Linked DNA regions of Arabidopsis thaliana. The protein of the gene in region 1 interacts with the protein of each later gene in a pairwise test. Each region holds a gene or a part of one and is shown in the gene's direction. Other genes may lie near its edges.

Region 1 (6,914 bases):
GATACTATTATCTACGATAGTGAAGAAGAAACCCAACCTAGTGTTGAGACTATTACTATTAGTAAGTCTAAAGATGAGCAAAATCGTATGGTTGGTTCGAATAGAGCGGATACAAGACATGTGGACCACATGGTTCGTTCAATTGAAGATCCTATTATGCGTAAAGCAGGTTTGAAGGGTCCAGTTTCAGTCAGGACAAGACAGGTTCGTGGATACTAAGTACAAATGTTATAAGTTTTTCAGGTGCATCTACGGTGTAATCACTCAGTTTTGTACTTTTCTATGTTCTTTTTGTGGTCAAAGATGTAAGATTATTGTGTTCTTTATGGATATAAGCTTTCAATGATGTTGTACAGTTGCATATGTGTGTGTTTATACAAGAAACGTTTCTAGAAAACTTTGAATCAAATTCGAAGAACTTACCTGAAAATTACTGTCCTCGAGGCCTCTTTTTACCATGTTGAATTAGGTCAGCATATGCCTGGAAACTTAGACCGACATCTTCATCGTATTCAATTCCAAGCTCCTCCTGCAAAGTAACAGTAGTCAAAAATTATGGCGAAGCTGATGTAGTCTGTAAGAAAAAACTCCTGAAGAAATATGAGTTTGCACCTTTAGTTCCTTCACATCTTTGGGAGAATTCTCTGTTACAGTATCCCAAATGTCTCTGAACATCCTCTTACGCTTGCGCCACTGATTAATCTTATCCGCATACATATCTTCAACAGCCTTTTTGTCTTCTGGCCTCACCAATGTAATCCCTTCACGTAGTTTGACCAGTTTCTCTTCCATTTCCTTAACCTGGTACACAGTTGAAATCACTTTATAAGCTATCAACAACCTTACTCAAAGAAAGACAAAAACCAAAAGGTAAGAAAAACATATACCTCTTTCCTTAGTTTGGCATCTTTCTCTTGTATCTCTTCTAGTGTCAAGTTTGACTGCAAACTCTTGATTTCTGCAAATAACATCACAGAACATAACATTATCCAAGCAGCTATATCACATCCTCAAAACCACTGAGAAAAAGTAGTTTTTTCACACCTGATTCCACATCACTGATAGTTTTCTTCTTCTCTTGAAGCTGTTCTTGAAGTTTGGCATTGTCTTCTTTCATTTGAGCAAGTTCTTCAGAGTTTGGAATCTCAAACTGGTCTTGTCTAGCAATGTATATCTTCTGCTTACCATACTCTTTAAACGTGATTTTTCCAGCATCAGCAAGACTATCAAGTGCCTTTTGCACCGCAGTCTTCTTAAGGTTAAACTTTTGTAGAGCATCAGCTGCATTTTGAGTGTTTAGAGGTTTGTTTTGCTGCATCAAAAAAGTACCAACAACACATTCATCAAAATCTAACAACAATAATACAACAGATTGAAACAAAACTTGCAATATATATATATATATATATATATATATATATATAACCTGTATCAATCAATTTTTAAAACCTAGTCAATATCAATAGCTTCAAACGAAAAATTCATGTGTAAACTTATAGCACAAATTGAAACCCAAGTGATTAAATTCCCAGATTCAGAATCATGTGAACATCACTGCGTACCTTAACCTAGACTCAATTTCAAATTCGAATTCTAATTTTTATGGTCGTATCTGTTTGTGATCTCCGTTTAGAATTAAAGCAAAAATGTAGAATCGCAGAGAAGTGCTTACCTCATTGACAAAGTTGAGTACGATAGCTGCAGAAATAAAAAATTCAGGAAACAAGTAAATAAGAGAGAAATCAAAATGAGGAATAAGATCAAAGAGAACTAGCAGATTTTTTTCAGAGATTATATCATTATACCTTCGGTGTTATCCGATTTAGGAGCCATTTTTGTCGAAATAATTGGCGGGAAATAAAAAACCTGAAGCGAGAGCAACTTTTTTCCTTTTCCGATATTTTCTGAGGAAGAAGAAGAGAGTTACTGAGAAGCTTCCTTTATACGAGAGAGATATTAAACGAAGTCGTATTTGTTGGATATATGGGCCTTTATGTATTATACATAAGCCCATTTAGTTCTTATCTTTGACAGGCCCAATTATATGGACACAGCTTGAAGATGGTTTAGCTGCTGCGAAAGACGAGCTCCGGTCTCATTTCTCGTTCTTCTGATTGATAGATCGCTCGGAACTTGGAAAGCAGCGTAATCGGTAAATTCTCGATCATTTCTTCAATTTCGAAACATTTTCCAATTGTATATTGAGAATCTCAAATCGAATTATTGTTTAGATCTTCTCTCTTTATTAGTCTAAGAATGGTAATAGTTTCTCTCTAGATTGGGACGGCACAAAGTTTCAGTTCTCCATTCTAATCATTTTTTAGAGGCTAATGGGTCACCTTTGAATTATCTCAGAGGCGGAATTGAGTTTAAAGTTTGTAACTTTATCGTCTTTTGTATTGATGGTGTCTATGTATGCATTGTGTTTTATTCTGACTTTGTGTACATTTGTGTTTGATTGAAGGTAGGGAGTGATTTGAGTTTTGGTGAGGATGTCTATGGTTGATGAGCCTTTATACCCGATTGCTGTGCTTATCGACGAGCTAAAAAACGATGATATTCAGCGTAGATTGAACTCTATTAAACGGCTTTCTATCATTGCTCGTGCTCTTGGAGAGGAGAGGACAAGAAAAGAGTTGATTCCATTTCTTAGTGAGAACAATGACGATGACGATGAGGTGCTTTTGGCTATGGCGGAAGAGTTGGGGGGTTTTATTCTGTATGTAGGAGGGGTTGAGTATGCATATGTTCTGCTTCCACCTTTGGAGACTCTATCCACTGTTGAGGAAACTTGCGTGAGGGAGAAAGCTGTGGATTCACTTTGTAGAATTGGTGCTCAGATGAGGGAGAGTGACTTGGTTGAGCATTTCACTCCTCTGGCTAAGGTTAGATAAGGCTGGTTTACTTATTTTATCAAATCTCTTTGGTCGATTTTATTGATTCCTTTCCATGCTCTGTCAAACTTAATATTATTAAGCCACTAAAACAGAAGAACATAGATTTTTTGGGGTCCTTTGTCAATTGTCCCCCAAAGTTTGGAAATATGCTTTTCTTGTTCAGTGTTCCCCTTATAGGTGTTTTGGGAAATTGGTAGGTTGAAGTTGTTTACATCCATTTTGGTTGATCTAAGAGAACATCGCTCTGGCTTTAGCGCTCTTTTGGGTTGTGGTTGTGTATGTGACCATACATACCTCGGTATAGGTGCTCGTAATGTGAAACCGACTTAAGCATTACTGAACACTGTCATTGTGTAACAGCGACTTTCAGCTGGTGAATGGTTCACAGCCAGAGTATCAGCATGTGGGATTTTCCATATTGCATACCCAAGTGCCCCAGATGTGCTAAAGACGGAGCTAAGATCAATATATGGTCAGCTTTGTCAAGATGACATGCCAATGGTGCGCAGAGCTGCAGCAACTAATTTGGGGAAGTTTGCTGCTACAATTGAATCAGCTCATTTGAAGACAGACATTATGTCCATGTTTGAGGATCTTACGCAAGATGGTATGCTCTCCCTTATTATATGTTTCGTTTTTCCAGCATATACTCTTACAATTTTCATCAAGCCTAGTTATGGGGGTGGCTGATGTGTAATAGGCAAGTATTAGGGTTACTGCATTGAACACTGACCATTAGCTGAAGTTAAGCAGAATTACGGTTGTCTACATCTCAGCTTCAGTGTCTTTTTATATTATAATATTACAGATTTTAAGTATCTTATTGACATTGATATCAGATCAAGATTCGGTTAGATTATTGGCTGTTGAGGGTTGTGCTGCTCTTGGGAAATTGTTGGAGCCCCAGGACTGTGTTGCACACATTCTTCCTGTGATTGTCAATTTCTCGCAGGTAAATAAATGTGTGAATATGATAAAAAAATTCTATTGATGAGCTTTATGGGAAAGCTGTAAGGCAGATATGTATGAGCTGCTTTATCTTGATTTTTTTCGTCTTTGAGCAGGATAAGTCCTGGCGTGTGCGTTATATGGTTGCAAATCAGCTCTATGAACTTTGTGAAGCTGTAGGACCGGAGCCAACTAGGTAAGCAGTGATGGTTGAAGTTAGTTATGGTTTAATGTAGTATTGACCTTTAGTATGCAATTCTATATCAAACAATAGATTACTGACTTCAGAGGTATTTGGTACTTGGAAGTCCATGTTTGTTGAGTCATCTTAATAAATTTCTTTGAGTCGTTTTTTATACTTTCTCATGTGCCTTATGTATTAAGGACGGATCTGGTGCCTGCATATGCTCGTCTACTTTGTGATAATGAGGCAGAAGTTCGGATAGCAGCTGCTGGAAAAGTTACCAAGTTTTGTCGCATTTTAAACCCTGAACTCGCTATCCAGCACATTCTTCCCTGTGTAAAGGTACACACTTAAGAAGAGTGTGTTGATTTCATATTATGCAAAGGACCAAAATACTGTCGGTGTTTGCTAAGCTTACCTATAAATCTACACGTAGGAATTATCATCAGACTCTTCTCAGCACGTCAGATCTGCATTGGCATCAGTTATAATGGGAATGGCTCCAGTCTTGGGTAAGGTAAGCAGAATTAAAAACCGATACAATTTGCCTCTCATATCATGAATACTGTCATCTATACAAAAATTCATTTGGCTCTATAGTTTGGAGTGTAAGCTCATAATATTCTATGTATTTAGCATCTTAGAGATAAAGATTTTTTCTTTTATTTGAAACCATCTATATATCTTCTTCGTCCTAGTCACTGTCATCTTTAGGAATTTTTTTAACTGTGCCTGGAAGGTTCTCGCAACAATAATCTATATAAGAAAACCTCACTATGTTTTTCTACACAAGATATTTAGTTGGATTTTGCAGCTTTTAACTTGGCATTGATATTCATTTCAGGATGCAACAATTGAGCATCTTCTTCCAATCTTTCTTTCTCTATTGAAAGACGAATTTCCTGATGTACGCTTAAACATTATCAGCAAACTTGACCAAGTGAACCAGGTTTGCTATTGACCAAGTTACTCATCTCTTTGTACGACATTGGGTTTCTATTTTTTCCCACATGTTCAAAGGAGCTGTATCATGTTTTGGTCAAGTCAATGACTACTTGACAGCAAATTCTTTGTCCATCCATTTTTCATAATGATTCGATTTTTTTTCCTTAAAATTGCCAGGTTATTGGGATTGATCTACTATCACAATCGTTACTGCCAGCCATTGTAGAACTTGCTGAAGACAGGCACTGGAGAGTACGTCTGGCTATAATCGAGTATATTCCCTTGTTGGCCAGTCAATTAGGTGTAGGCTTCTTTGATGAGAAGCTTGGTGCTCTTTGCATGCAATGGTTACAAGACAAGGTCCCTCATTCTCTACCTTCATTGAATCATCCAGATAAATAAATTTGTCGTCTCTACTGCTTGAAATTTTGAAATAATTATAAATTGTCAGGTTCACTCAATCCGTGAAGCTGCTGCAAACAATCTGAAGCGTCTTGCTGAAGAGTTTGGTCCTGAATGGGCAATGCAGCATATAGTTCCTCAGGTTTGTGTAGAAATCTTAAGCATATAGTATGTTTTCAATTCAAATCGAGCATTTTAGCTATTGGTTATTGGAGTATATTTACTTGTTCAGGTTCTAGAGATGATTAACAACCCACACTATCTATATCGGATGACGATTCTTCGTGCAGTATCGCTTCTCGCTCCAGTAATGGGATCCGAGATCACATGTTCCAAACTCTTACCTGCGGTAATAACTGCATCTAAAGACAGGCAAGTCTCTCTCTTAACATGAAATCTCATTGACTCAATTTTTTTCCCAATAGCTAACTAAAAGAACCACTCTCTCCTCCTCTTTCAGAGTTCCAAACATCAAATTTAACGTGGCCAAAATGATGCAATCTCTCATTCCGATAGTCGACCAAGCGGTTAGTATACATTCTTTGTTGGCTCTCACAAGTAAAGAAACAGCTTATGATTCCACATTATCCTCCTCATCAGGGAATCTAAACGTCCATATATTCAAATGTTTTCATTTTTGTTGGTTGTGAAAGGTTGTGGAGAACATGATACGGCCATGCTTGGTGGAGCTAAGTGAAGACCCAGATGTTGATGTTCGGTATTTCGCAAATCAAGCTCTCCAATCTATTGACAATGTGATGATGTCTAGCTAAAAAAAGGTAAAGAAGACAGCAACGAATTGTGTTTGGTTCTCATGAGATTTTGTAAACGATACTTTGTCGTGTGTTGTCTTTTACTTTACACGTACGTGACCATTGTTTCTCTCTGCTACTAATGTTAATGTTGGCTTCATGTTTTCTGTGATTTGTTCGTTGGGCGTATTTGCTTTTTGGTGCTTAATTTTGTTTAGTCCAAATAATTTACTTATCAAGTGATTCGGCAACGTTTTTGCTCGAAGCATGAGTGTACAATTGGTCACCACTGGAATATTTTAATTGGTCAACCAACTTATTGAGTCGTTTTCAAGCCCATGGGCTTTTATACTCCACATATCAGATTCAGGTCGTTGTTGTCTTTTTAACTAGAAGACTATTTTATCAAAAGTCAAAACCTTGTCGTAGAAGGCACTTACGGAGAATTATTGACCTAGGAACTTCCCTCGAAAAGTTCAATATATATGTGTTATTGACGTTTTCTGTTTGATTATTTACAAATTTTGTTGATTATTTTTCACCACTCTTGCACACACCTCTCTCGCTATTTCAAAACTCTACGAAATTTCCTTAATATTTCTATTTGATCTTCCAACAGTTTTCGACTCGCAATAGGATTAGGAAATTACAAATAATATCTGAATTATTTAAACGACAACACAAATATTATAGAGTCTTCTCTTGTTTCTCGGCTTCAGTTTATTTATGTTGTTTATGATTCTGGCTTAATAGTTACGTAACCAAGAGTTTGGAAGAAGAACGATG
Region 2 (5,670 bases), on another chromosome or scaffold:
TCATAATTCTCCAACAGCATGATAGTGTTGGACTCTAAGAGTACCCAATCCAGTCTATAGATAACCCAGAAACTCATATCCGTTCATAATACTCTAACATACCTCTATCAACATGAGCTTTTCTACTAGCAGAGTCAGCAATGGAAGACTTTCAAAAGTCCTGTACCTGTATCTATATATAAATTCTTGTATAGTGAGCATTACTTACAAGATGAGATTTCCTCTGGAGATTAACCGAGATACTAAACCTAACCCAGATGATCGAATGAAGGAAGCAGGGCTCACATGTAAACATCAAGCTTTACCAAACAAAAGAAATACAAATCAACTGTTCCTAAACCAAAATGAAATTTTTACATCTTTGAACAATCTAGCTTCTGTGATTAGTTTATCCTATCAAAGCTTGTAACCATCATCAACACACTAAACTAAAACCAGCTCAAAAATGAAGAAAAATACACACTTACATTTCAGGACCTTCTTCGCCATTCTCAGCAATCCTAGGAACTTTATTCATCCCCGACTTAAACGAAGCATTCCCTCGTCCACCTCTCCCTCCAGGCAACAACAACGCCCTCTGTCCCGGATGCAACAACTCCAAAAGCACCTCCTTCTCCTCCCCTTCCTCACCCTCCACCTCACTCCCAACCTCTCTAGCCTGTCTAACCACCGTCCCAGGAGCCACTTTCACCACGACATTATCACCTTTAGCTCCACTCTGCATCTTCCCTCTCCCATGTTCCCCACGTCCCGCCCTGAAATGCACACTCTTGCGAAATGGCAACAACGAATTCATAGACCCATCAACCTCTACATACACATTCCCTCCTCTCCCTCCATCTCCACCTGAAGGTCCTCCAAAAGGAACAAACTTTTCTCTCCTAAACGCCACCACACCATTCCCTCCATCTCCGGCTCTAACATATATCTTCGCTCTATCGAAACACCTCATCACAGCCGGAACTCCTTTCTCCTTCACCCCAATTTCATCCTCTTCCTCTTCACCGGAGAAACATAACACTTCTCCATCCTTCAATTCAGACCCTTCACTATCATCTTTCTCCGCATCAGTTTCATCACCATACTCAAACACTTCGTCTTCCCAATCTTCATCATCTTCATCAATTGATCTTGAACTCCCTTCAAACACATCTAATCTTCTGTAATTTCCCCAAATATCATCATCATCATAACTCTTCACCTCCTTTTCTTTCTCTTCTTCCTCAATTTCCCTCAAAGTTTCAATCTTTTCCTCAACCCTCGCGACATTGGACTCAGATAGCTTCACTTCTTCAGAAACTTTTAAATAAGATGAAGACAAAAGAGAGACATCATAGTAATCTTCCCTAGGAGGAAGACGTGTATAAGTAGTGGCTTCGCCGCCGGCATCAGAAACTGGCTGGAGTTTATCACCGCCTCGAGATTTAAGCTCGACTTCGCGTTGAAGCTTCGTTTTTCTAGGGCTTCGGGTTCTTCCCGAGACTTTGTCAGGTTTAGCGAAAATCTTCCTCGTCCTACTGGGTCGGGCTAGAGCTTGAGGAGTGAAGAAACAGTTAATGGATATGGAAGCCATTTGTTTCTCTGATAAATCTTAACGGGACTTTATGTGATATAAACAACATTTTGTACTAAATATTGATTTTTCAAAGTAAAGGGGGTTACAATCAAAAGTAGTATAAAATTGAGGACTTATATAGCAAACAAGGAGAAACTTTTATTACCTTTGAAGTTTGAAGCTTGGATCTCGCAGATTGAGCTCCAGAGAGGGAGAGAGAGAGAAAGGGGGCGCTTTAGGGTTTCTGCAGTTCCTGGTTCAGTCTCACCATTCTATTTAAGGGTTTTAATCTCTCTGCTTCATTTGGTGACTAACATTTATCGTCGAGGGTTGTGACGATCTCCGAGAATGTATAGCGGATCTAGCGATGGTGAGAGTCATGATACATCGACGCAGAGGAAGATCCCACCGGCGTCTTCGATGCTTTGGGTTAGAAATCTACGACGATATATTGGTTCCGGTGCCGGATTAGGATCCGAAGCTCTAATGGGTAATGTTCCTTTTGCCGGTTGTTGCGTTTTGGTTGTTGGGACAGTCTGTAGTTTTTTTATCTTTTAGCTTGTGATGATGTCATAAATTCTGTAAAGTTTGAATCTTTGATCACATTTTAGAGCTCGTTGTGTTTTCAATATGAGTAAAGTTCCTGAATTTACATGTCTATGTATTGAAAGACTATGTTTAACTGTGATAGAGTCTTTGGTTTTGCTTAGTTTGATAAGGGTTTGTGTTCATTGTTTTGTAGAGCTTGAGACGAAGAGAATCTTGCTCGAGATTTTTAAAGAGAAGCAACAGAAAAGCCAAGAAGCAGGCACAATACCGAGTTTCTACAAGAAGGCATGTCCCTTACTCTGTATAAAATGATTGCCTTTGCATTTCAAGGCACTACTCGGTTAAAATATTGCATTGTGTTATACACTTCATAGAAGTTGTTTTTCCTTTTAAGTATTCGTGTTAGGCAATAAAATTTTGTTCCTTTACTCTTGGTTCAGAAACCAGAAGAAGGATCTATTAGTCAAAGGGTCCAGAAGCTTGCAAAGTACCGTTTCTTGAAGGTATTTCGCCTGCTCTTAATTATTCAGAAGAAGTTTAATGTTTTTGCTCACTTCGATATGTTGATTAATTCCCACAGAAACAATCGGATCTTTTGTTAAACGCTGATGATTTGGCTGCTATGTGGGTTTGTTTGAGAGAAAATTGTGTGATTGATGATGCCACTGGTGCTGAAAAGGTACGTGCATCTTTTATAGGATTTTTCTCTGGAGCTGAAACTATGTTAACAATGATGCTGATATTGCGCTGTCTTTTTCATGTAGATGAACTATGAAGACTTCTGTCACATTGCCTCTGTATGCACTGAACAAATCGGTCCCAAATGTCGCCGGTTTTTTAGCCCATCCAATTTCATGAAATTTGAGAAGGATGAGGCTGGGAGGATTGCCATTTTACCGTTTTATCTTTATGTGATGCGCACGGTGAGTATCCTTATGTTTTTATAATGTCATGTCTTTGGGTATCATTTTTGTTCATTGGCTGAATATCATCTGTCGCCATAAGCTAAATATTCTTTGGTACTGTGTTTGAGTGACACCAGCTTTGCTAGTTTTGGATGTTTGTTTTTCAAGTTTTTTTAATTTGGCGTGTCTTTTACTTAAACAACTATAGTTAATACTTGTTTTGATTAATCATATGTTCAACACTATTCAGGTGTCGCTTACACAAGCTAGGATTGATATGAGTGAGCTTGACGAAGACTCTGATGGTTTCCTTCATTCTGATGTAAGTACTCAAGTGGCTCTAAAGCTTTAACTTTAGAATTGGCTCAAGATTCTTTAGGTAGTCGTCCTACCTGCAAATGTCAAATGGTGTTGACTTTTATGTCAAGTTCCTTACAGTTAGTCTACTTGCTGTTGTTATTATAGGAAATGGAGTCCTATATTGGTGGTCTAATCCCTAATCTGGCACAACTGAGAGACATGCCTCCGGCCTTTAATCAAATGTATTGCCGCATAGCTTCACAAAAGTTTTTCTTCTTCTGTGATCCCCATAGGCGAGGTAAGTGAAAGAAAATATTATTATTATTAGGCAATTAGAAATTTCTTTGACCCAGTATTCAATCGCTCGTAAATGTGATATTTTTTGCGTACAGGAAGAGCCTGCATTAAAAAGATACTGCTCAGTAACTGTCTGCAGGAACTAATGGAATTGCATCAGGTAAGTTTAGTTGAAGGATGTATGACATACAGCTTCGTCACCGTATAACTTTCCACTTTCATAAGCTACTTGCTTGTGTTTTCTGATTGTTCCTTGGTTACTCAACGTTAGGAAAGCGAGGAGGAAGTCACAGACACTGAACAGGCAGAAAATTGGTTCTCTTTGACTTCAGCCCAACGCATATGTGGTGGGTGTGCTATTTTGTCTTAATAGCTGCAGAGAACTGGAAACAACTCTCGTTATGTCATATTAAGAACTAAAATGGAGATTGATCTAGAGTTTCTCTTTCTTCTGTAGATATGTTCCTCGCACTTGATAAAGATATGAGTGGATCGCTGTGCAAACAAGAACTTAAAGAATATGCTGATGGGACCCTAACTGAGATTTTCATTGAAAGAGGTAAATTTAAGCCCTTTTGGTGATTGTAGGCTCGTGGTACTGATCGAGACACGCTTAGTATACTAATTCCCCTTTGTTTTTTTAGTGTTCGATGAGCATGTCCGCCGTGGTAAAATCGTGGCAGGCAATTCCCGGGAAATGGACTTTGACAGTTTCCTCGATTTTGTTCTTGCTTTGGAGAACAAAGATACTCCAGAGGGTTTGACGTATTTATTCCGTTGCCTTGATCTCCAAGGGAGAGGCTTTCTCACTACTGCTGATATTCACTCTCTTTTCAGGTAATGAATCTCTATGAAGCGACTGAATCTGTTTGGTTTCTTACTTTTTAGTAAATTTTGTTTGAAACATGGAAGTAAAGAAGGGGAGCATCAAAGAGTTGTGATGTTATCTGATACAATCTTCCTAAATAAACACTCTGCATTTCCTGCTTGCGGAAGCTGAGCTTTGTTCCGCGAGTCTCATATCTGCAAAGACACTAGTGCATATCAAACACACCATTGATGTGTGATAATGCCATTGTCTCTCTTCTGAATTCATCTGTTTAACTTGCAGAGATGTTCACCAGAAATGGATAGAAGGTGGGAACTATGAACTGTGCATAGAAGATGTTCGAGACGAGATCTGGGACATGGTGAAACCGTCTGACCCATTAAAGATCACTCTGGGTGATCTCTTGGGATGTAAACAAGGTGGAACCGTTGCGAGCATGCTTATAGATGTGCGTGGCTTCTGGGCTCATGACAACCGTGAGAACCTTCTTCAAGAAGAAGAAGAACCACCTGAGGAAGAGTCTCAGTGATAATGTTATTTTCTATGTCTACCTAAAAAAAATGCTAAATCATTGAGATCAAAAGTCTCGCACTAGTAAACAGTCTCATCTCATGTGTGTGTATCTTTGTAAGCTTATTAGTTGGTGACGTTTAATGAAATGGCTGTTTATATCGTCACTTGTCTTATTCTACTTGGGATCTGATTTGATTTTTGACATTTCTGAATTCACTTCTATTATACATTACTCCACAACACACATGAATTCAGTCATGTCTCGAGTACTACAAAATGGAAGTCATAAAAGTTATCGTGTTGTCTCTGGTCTGTGTTTAGACATGGAAAGGCTTTCTGGGTGTAGCAGCTCTGTTCTCTAGAGATTGTAATCTTTGCTTCAGATGAAACACTTCAACCTGCGTTCATCTCAAGTTTTTAGAACAATACTACATTTTGAAAATGCAAATTTGAATAGAGTCTATTGATGATTATGATGACACCTGCAACTGGAACGCTCTTGCTCTTTCTCCTGCAAGAACTCCTCTTGTTGAATGCAACTCCTACAAAACCCATAACACAAAACGGTATTAAACTTTAATCCTCAGTCTTTTGAAAACGCTTGTATATCTACTAGGATTATTTTACCTTTTGTGTATCGTCTAGGACAGCTTTGAGGAACGCTACATCATGCTCAAGCCTGACATTGTCGGAGTGAACCATGTTTGACAAACTATTAGCTT
Region 3 (6,047 bases), about 14 Mb from region 1:
GCTGCTCTTCGTGAGAAAGAAGAGGAGAACGACATCCTCCGACAAAGAGTCCAGCAGTACGATAACCGGTGGTCTGAATATGAAACAAAGATGAAATCCATGGAAGAAATTTGGCAAAAGCAGATGAAATCTTTGCAATCCAGTCTTTCCATCGCAAAGAAAAGCCTAGAGGTTGAGGACTCAGCGAGAAACTCGGATGCATCGGTGAATGCAAGCGATGCAACAGATTTAGATTCAGGAGGTAGTCATTACCAAATGGGCCATGGCAGGTCAAGAAGTGTAGGCGTGGGTTTAAGCGTGATAAGCCGGTTAGCTGAGGAATTTGGACAAAGAGCTCAGGTATTTGGTGACGACAGAAAGTTCTTGATGGAAGTGAAATCTGGTCAGGTGGAAGCAAACTTGAATCCGGACCGGGAGCTACGAAGGCTGAAACAGATGTTTGAGACATGGAAGAAAGATTATGGAGGGAGACTAAGGGAAACGAAACTGATACTTAGCAAACTTGGGAGTGAAGAAACAGGTGGTTCAGCGGAGAAGGTGAAGATGAATTGGTGGGGGAGGTTGAGGAGTACTAGGTATTAATGGTTACTTCCTTTTCTTGAGACGCACGTCTCCTTTTCTACACGTTTGATGTAACTACGGTTTTTGGCTTTGCTGCTAGAAGTGAGAAGGCTCCTTGGGACTGAAAGAGTCATGTTTTTCATTTGCCACCCAAATCTATTGGCAAATTCAGTAAATAATTTTTATATTATACAGTATATCTATTTGTCAAGGATTCCAAAGTCCAGTGAACCATTGCTGTATTTGAATATAAATAGTCGTTGCAAAAACAAATCAATATTTATATTTCTTAAATAGTTAAGTTTTTTATCAAGCTAATTAAAATGGACATAGCGAGAAATAACTACAAGGTGGTAAACTATGATAATAATATAAATTTCCTTACAAGTTTGTTTGTTTGTAAACATATGGAGTTAGAAAGGGAAAAAAAAATTGTATAGATTTTATACAAGATTGTTTTGAGTTTAAAAAATCTTTATCGTGTTTGGACAATGTGTATTTTAAAAACTATTTAACTACTAGTTTTTTTGGCCGATTTCAGTGATATCTCGACTTAGACTCTACAAAAATTTAGATAATTTGATGGATAAAATTACATATGATAAATCATGCACTTGTATCAGATGGTCAGTTGGTGGAATCCCTCTTCAACAAGTGATCTTTCTTGGAATGTTGTCGTGGGTTAAAAAAAAACTCAATCCAGCCCAAACCCGAAATGAACATGTCTGAGAAAAATCATTTCTATTCTTGCAGCTGAGTAAACTCTTCACAATTTAAATTTCGAATTACCTTTGCGATGCATCACTTTTTTAAGTGGAACTAAGTTTCGGATCACCTCTCGACCAAGTATAAACCAAACCAACACCAATATATACTTTCCGTAATATTTGGCCCTCCGACTAGTGATTTTTTCGGATGTAATTTGAACATTGGAGATTTTTTGGTGAGACAAATTCCATTTTGTCATTTTTAGAGGTCATCATAACAATACTTTTCCTTCTCAAATTATCCCTAACCAGAAGCCAAATGGGAAGACCCAAACATAAACATTGAAATGAATCGAGTGAGGTTCGCTCTTGAACGATCGTATTGCTAATGCCTATCCAAGATCATTGATTCATTTCTAACATATCCCGTACGGTCTCCCACAAACAACCTTCCTCAAAAGTTCAACATCACATAGATTTCGAAATGTGTCTTTAGACACAATTTGTTTAACAAGACTTTTAAATAATTTTTTTTAGGAGTTTTTAATTATCAAAAAGGTCTTACTCAAATTCAACAACACATATATCGAAATGTGTTTTTTTAAAAAAATTAAAAAGAAGAAAAAATACTATAAAGAAGGTTTAAGTATTTGTGGAATTTTATTTAGGTGTTATCAATTGTCACATTCAAGTAGACAAATAAAATTACCAAGAAAAGAATTGCAAAAACATTGAAAATGTGTAGTATACTCCATTAAAGATTTGTGTAATGAAGTAATAGATAAAAATTAAATTGATGTTTAATATGTTGCCAAAAAAATGATTAAAAATAAATATCCAACGAATAGAGTTTGGGGATGGAGGAAGACCAAATCGGGTTCGGGTCGAGATTGTTTGGTTCGTTGTGTTTCCCCTTTCTCTCTCTCTCCCTCTTTCCCCCTTACGTAACCCTAAGCGGACGGAGCAATGCTCTGCTAGATCTATCTTTCTTTCAATTCTTCACCAGAGATCGTCGAGACTCACCATTGAAATCGAAGAAACAGCACCAATTTCCACTTCACCACCGAAAGAGAGAGACAGAGAGGATAATAAAAGGCCGCCATGGATTTAGATCAATGGATTTCCAAGGTTAAAGACGGCCAACATCTCTCTGAGGACGAGCTTCAACTTCTCTGCGAATACGTACGCCTTCTTCTTCTTTCTTCTTTCTTCTCTTGCTTGCTTTCTCTTCCCCGAATATTCATGCATCTACAAAAACCCAATTCTTCGCTTACTCTTTTGAGACTTTAGAGCTTGCTTTGTGGCACTTTACTTTGAATCTGGTCTCTCTCCCTTACTGTTTCCTTTGCCATTTTGGTCTACGGATTTTAGGGTTTTTCTCTCATTTTTCCAATAGAGGATTTATTGACTTTGCTATTTCAATTCTAAATTCTAAGGAATTAGGGATAAGTTTAGCTCTTCTTTAGCCAATTTATGGATGCACCAAGTCCACGCTTGCAAACTGTTATTTGAGGATTTATTATAGTAATTTTAGTGTTGAAACTTGTAGTAGCAGCCGTCTTCTTCTTTTTTCATGACAATGATTTGCTAAGATACTCTGGTAATTCACAAGATATTTTGACTATTATATAGGTGAAAGAAATTCTTATTGAGGAATCAAATGTACAACCTGTCAACAGTCCTGTCACCGTCTGTGGTGATATCCATGGCCAGTTTCATGATCTTATGAAACTTTTCCAGACCGGAGGTCATGTTCCCGAGACCAATTACATATTTATGGTATAGACTCTGACTTTGGGCGTAGGCTCGTATGACATATCAATATGTAACACATAGTTTAATTATCTGTGGGGGATTTTCTCAGGGGGATTTCGTTGATAGAGGTTACAACAGTCTTGAAGTTTTCACCATTCTTTTGCTTCTTAAAGCAAGGTAAGATTTTCCGTAGAAATTGTGCGTTATATATGTCATGGATCGTCATCCTTCCGTTTCACACTGTATATCATAGTTCTCTTGAGAATGCTCTTTAAGCTGTAAACGCATTGCTCTACTGGAAAATCGATTTAACTTGTATTCCAGGAAATTTATATTCTAACTTACTTTGCTGTGAGCTTAAAATCACTCGTTTCCTTGTATTTCAATATGTAGACATCCAGCCAATATCACTCTTTTGCGTGGAAATCATGAAAGTAGACAGCTAACTCAGGTATGCATTATTCTAATCCATTTATATCTATTGTTGCTGACTTGCTGTGCTCTTCACGCAGTTACTGGTTGAGAAGTAATTTTCGCTCAATTGTTATAACTAGTTTTGAAAGTTTATTTTGTACATGTGGCAATGCCATGCTAGATATAGGCATAGATGTTAACTAAGATGCATTTTATGTGAACCCTTTGCAACCATAAGTTTTCTTCTCGGAAGCTCTTGATTTATCTCTATCCTACACCATATCCTATATCTTTTAACATCCACTGTCAAGGACGAAGATTGTAGTGATATTTTGTGCCCTGCAGGTTCATTTTTATAGTTTTCTTAAATTGTCGTACCAATTTTATATTTGCTAGGTGTATGGTTTCTATGACGAATGCCAAAGGAAGTATGGTAATGCTAATGCTTGGAGATATTGCACGGATGTTTTTGACTATCTTACACTTTCAGCTATTATAGATGGCACTGTAAGTATTTCTCAGCTTCTTTGGCATTGTGTTATGATGTGTTCTTGTATAATTTTATGAATGCATAAGTTAGCTGTATACCATATTAAAACGTATTGCATCCTCAATGTAGGTTCTATGTGTTCATGGTGGCCTTTCACCTGATGTACGGACAATTGACCAGGTTAAAATGTGCTATTTTAAATTACTTTTGGTTTTCACCATGCAAGTGTTATTTATGATTAGATTAAATCTCATTTACTCATTTAGATGTTATTTTGTTCTCTAGATAAGATTGATTGAGCGGAATTGCGAAATACCGCATGAAGGACCCTTCTGTGATCTTATGTGGAGTGATCCTGAAGATATTGAAACATGGGCTGTCAGTCCACGTGGAGCTGGTTGGCTTTTCGGGTCCAGGGTTACCACTGAGGTATTTATATTTTTTTCTGGGGTTGAAATTTGAATAAGGTGTGAAAAGAAATAAATGTATTTCAGTTCCCTGATCTGTGGTTTTGCTTCTTGTGCAGTTTAACCATATTAACAATCTTGATCTAGTATGTCGCGCTCACCAGCTTGTACAAGAAGGTCTCAAGTACATGTTCCAAGATAAAGGTCTTGTAACTGTAAGTGCCTTGCTTCCTTATGATCATTTTGGATAGTTGGAAGTATAATCTGCTTGGTGATGTTTCTTCTCTTTATTTTTTTTGTAAAGGTGTGGTCTGCGCCTAATTACTGCTACCGTTGTGGGAATGTGGCTTCTATATTGAGTTTCAATGACAACATGGTGAGGCATTTGTTTTCTCTTTTGTTACTGATCTGCCACAATATCTTGTTTCATGTTCTTCTTACTTTTATGCACTCGTCTTCGGATTCTACTTTTCCTTTTTGATTAAATAAGTTACTGCCTTTGATACTTGTCTCTCGACCCAAACATATACACATGAGTGACTCTTGTGAGATAGAGTTATGATGTTTAAGCCATTTATTTAGTAACAATTCACAGTTCGCGTGGAATCAGTCTGTCCATATTGATTGTGCTCTGTGTGTTACTTTTCATATATAGACCTGTTTCTGGGAAGTGTTTAGGATCTGGTCCTCACTGACAGTAATGATTTGTTAAAATATGCTTAATTACCAGGAAAGGGAAGTGAAGTTCTTCACGGAGACAGAAGAGAACAATCAAATGAGAGGGCCAAGGACAGGTGTTCCTTATTTCCTGTGATTCATGATGATGATCCTACATCATTATTAGTCTCGTATTGCTCTTATCAAGTTAGCCATTATCATGATTGCCATTGGCTTATGTTCTTTCAAGGTATATCTTCTGATGTTGTTTACACTTCCATTGTTTTTTTTTTCCTTTTTCCATTTTGGAAACATTTTCTTGTGAAAGTGAATGTCACTTTGGTAATTTTAGTGGTTTTGATGCACTTTAACCTGAACCTCTTCTGGATGTTATTATTATACGTGCTTTCTTTCTTGTTTTGTTTCATCTTTGTTCTGTAAGCAAGACCAATTTTTATCATCTCAGCTTATTTGCAGTTTAGCACGGTTTGATTAGGTTCTGGGTTAATCTCAGGCTTATAAAATTCATCAAGCTCAAAAATAGTCCACTACAAGAACATAGAAGACCATTAATCAACATTCAACAGTAATTTGTTTCTAATCTAATTATTTGGTTTTGTTCAATAATCCTAGCAAAAATTCACGAAAGAGTTAATAATTTTGTAACCGGAATCATAGATAGGCCGGTTTATCCAAACCGGATATGACCTGTCCTCTATTAACAAACTGGTCGCGAGTCTCTAGGCAACTAAAACGGACACGTAATATGATAATAAGGCGTGGACTCGTATCTCTCGGCACTCACTTTCTCGCGACTCGTAGTCGTCTTCTCCACTTCGATACTCCTCTCTCTTGCCTCGTTCCTCTTGTTCCTCGCCGCCGCTCTATTCTACGGCTGTCTTCTTCTTTTTCCTCTTCCTCTGAAACCGGAGCTGCGTCAGTGCGGTTGACATCACCGAGAGACATGGCGGAATCGAGATCCCCTCCTGTAGCGAAGAAGGTGGAGCATGTGATGGAGATGTTCGGTGACGTTAGGGTTGACAATTACTACTGGCT

The links.
Region 2: the proteins of PP2AA3 (region 1) and FASS interact in a two-hybrid assay, tested with the Arabidopsis thaliana proteins (one study listed by BioGRID).
Region 3: the proteins of PP2AA3 (region 1) and FYPP1 interact in a two-hybrid assay, tested with the Arabidopsis thaliana proteins (one study listed by BioGRID).

What each region holds. Positions count from the first base shown.
Region 1 is NC_003070.9:4,562,927-4,569,840, reverse strand, and holds PP2AA3 (protein phosphatase 2A subunit A3), read left to right. Parts: upstream 1-1,991; 5' UTR 1,992-2,152; intron 2,153-2,464; 5' UTR 2,465-2,492; coding exon 2,493-2,885; intron 2,886-3,094; exon of another isoform or gene 3,095-3,257; coding exon 3,258-3,504; intron 3,505-3,736; coding exon 3,737-3,849; intron 3,850-3,961; coding exon 3,962-4,041; intron 4,042-4,229; coding exon 4,230-4,371; intron 4,372-4,465; coding exon 4,466-4,546; intron 4,547-4,873; coding exon 4,874-4,978; intron 4,979-5,151; coding exon 5,152-5,334; intron 5,335-5,425; coding exon 5,426-5,518; intron 5,519-5,608; coding exon 5,609-5,748; coding exon of another isoform or gene 5,749-5,752; intron 5,753-5,836; coding exon 5,837-5,903; intron 5,904-6,029; coding exon 6,030-6,149; 3' UTR 6,150-6,413; downstream 6,414-6,914. Other genes in the region: AT1G13340 (Regulator of Vps4 activity in the MVB pathway protein), read left to right, coding at 1-219; AHP2 (Tat-binding protein 1(Tbp-1)-interacting protein (TBPIP)), read right to left, coding at 431-529, 613-801, 888-958, 1,045-1,312, 1,673-1,698, 1,806-1,833; AT1G13310 (Endosomal targeting BRO1-like domain-containing protein), read left to right, coding at 6,912-6,914. UniProt on the Arabidopsis thaliana protein: The A subunit of protein phosphatase 2A serves as a scaffolding molecule to coordinate the assembly of the catalytic subunit and a variable regulatory B subunit. Involved during developmental process such as seedling and floral developments.
Region 2 is NC_003076.8:6,173,251-6,178,920, forward strand, and holds FASS (tonneau 2 (TON2)), read left to right. Parts: upstream 1-1,721; 5' UTR 1,722-1,903; coding exon 1,904-2,045; intron 2,046-2,297; coding exon 2,298-2,389; intron 2,390-2,544; coding exon 2,545-2,607; intron 2,608-2,684; coding exon 2,685-2,783; intron 2,784-2,868; coding exon 2,869-3,027; intron 3,028-3,259; coding exon 3,260-3,331; intron 3,332-3,474; coding exon 3,475-3,607; intron 3,608-3,701; coding exon 3,702-3,766; intron 3,767-3,877; coding exon 3,878-3,953; intron 3,954-4,063; coding exon 4,064-4,165; intron 4,166-4,250; coding exon 4,251-4,443; intron 4,444-4,453; exon of another isoform or gene 4,454-4,717; coding exon 4,718-4,964; 3' UTR 4,965-5,151; downstream 5,152-5,670. Other genes in the region: EMB269 (GTP1/OBG family protein), read right to left, coding at 468-1,573; AT5G18590 (Galactose oxidase/kelch repeat superfamily protein), read right to left, coding at 5,266-5,346, 5,431-5,490, 5,576-5,670. UniProt on the Arabidopsis thaliana protein: Probable regulatory subunit of type 2A protein phosphatase involved in the control of the dynamic organization of the cortical cytoskeleton.
Region 3 is NC_003070.9:18,656,525-18,662,571, forward strand, and holds FYPP1 (Calcineurin-like metallo-phosphoesterase superfamily protein), read left to right. Parts: upstream 1-1,983; 5' UTR 1,984-2,369; coding exon 2,370-2,450; intron 2,451-2,900; coding exon 2,901-3,047; intron 3,048-3,132; coding exon 3,133-3,200; intron 3,201-3,416; coding exon 3,417-3,474; intron 3,475-3,833; coding exon 3,834-3,944; intron 3,945-4,056; coding exon 4,057-4,107; intron 4,108-4,212; coding exon 4,213-4,356; intron 4,357-4,453; coding exon 4,454-4,549; intron 4,550-4,638; coding exon 4,639-4,710; intron 4,711-5,064; coding exon 5,065-5,148; 3' UTR 5,149-5,528; downstream 5,529-6,047. Other genes in the region: VIIIA (P-loop containing nucleoside triphosphate hydrolases superfamily protein), read left to right, coding at 1-582; AT1G50380 (Prolyl oligopeptidase family protein), read left to right, coding at 5,758-6,047. UniProt on the Arabidopsis thaliana protein: Catalytic subunit of protein phosphatase 6 (PP6). Dephosphorylates phosphorylated phytochromes, with a preference toward Pfr forms.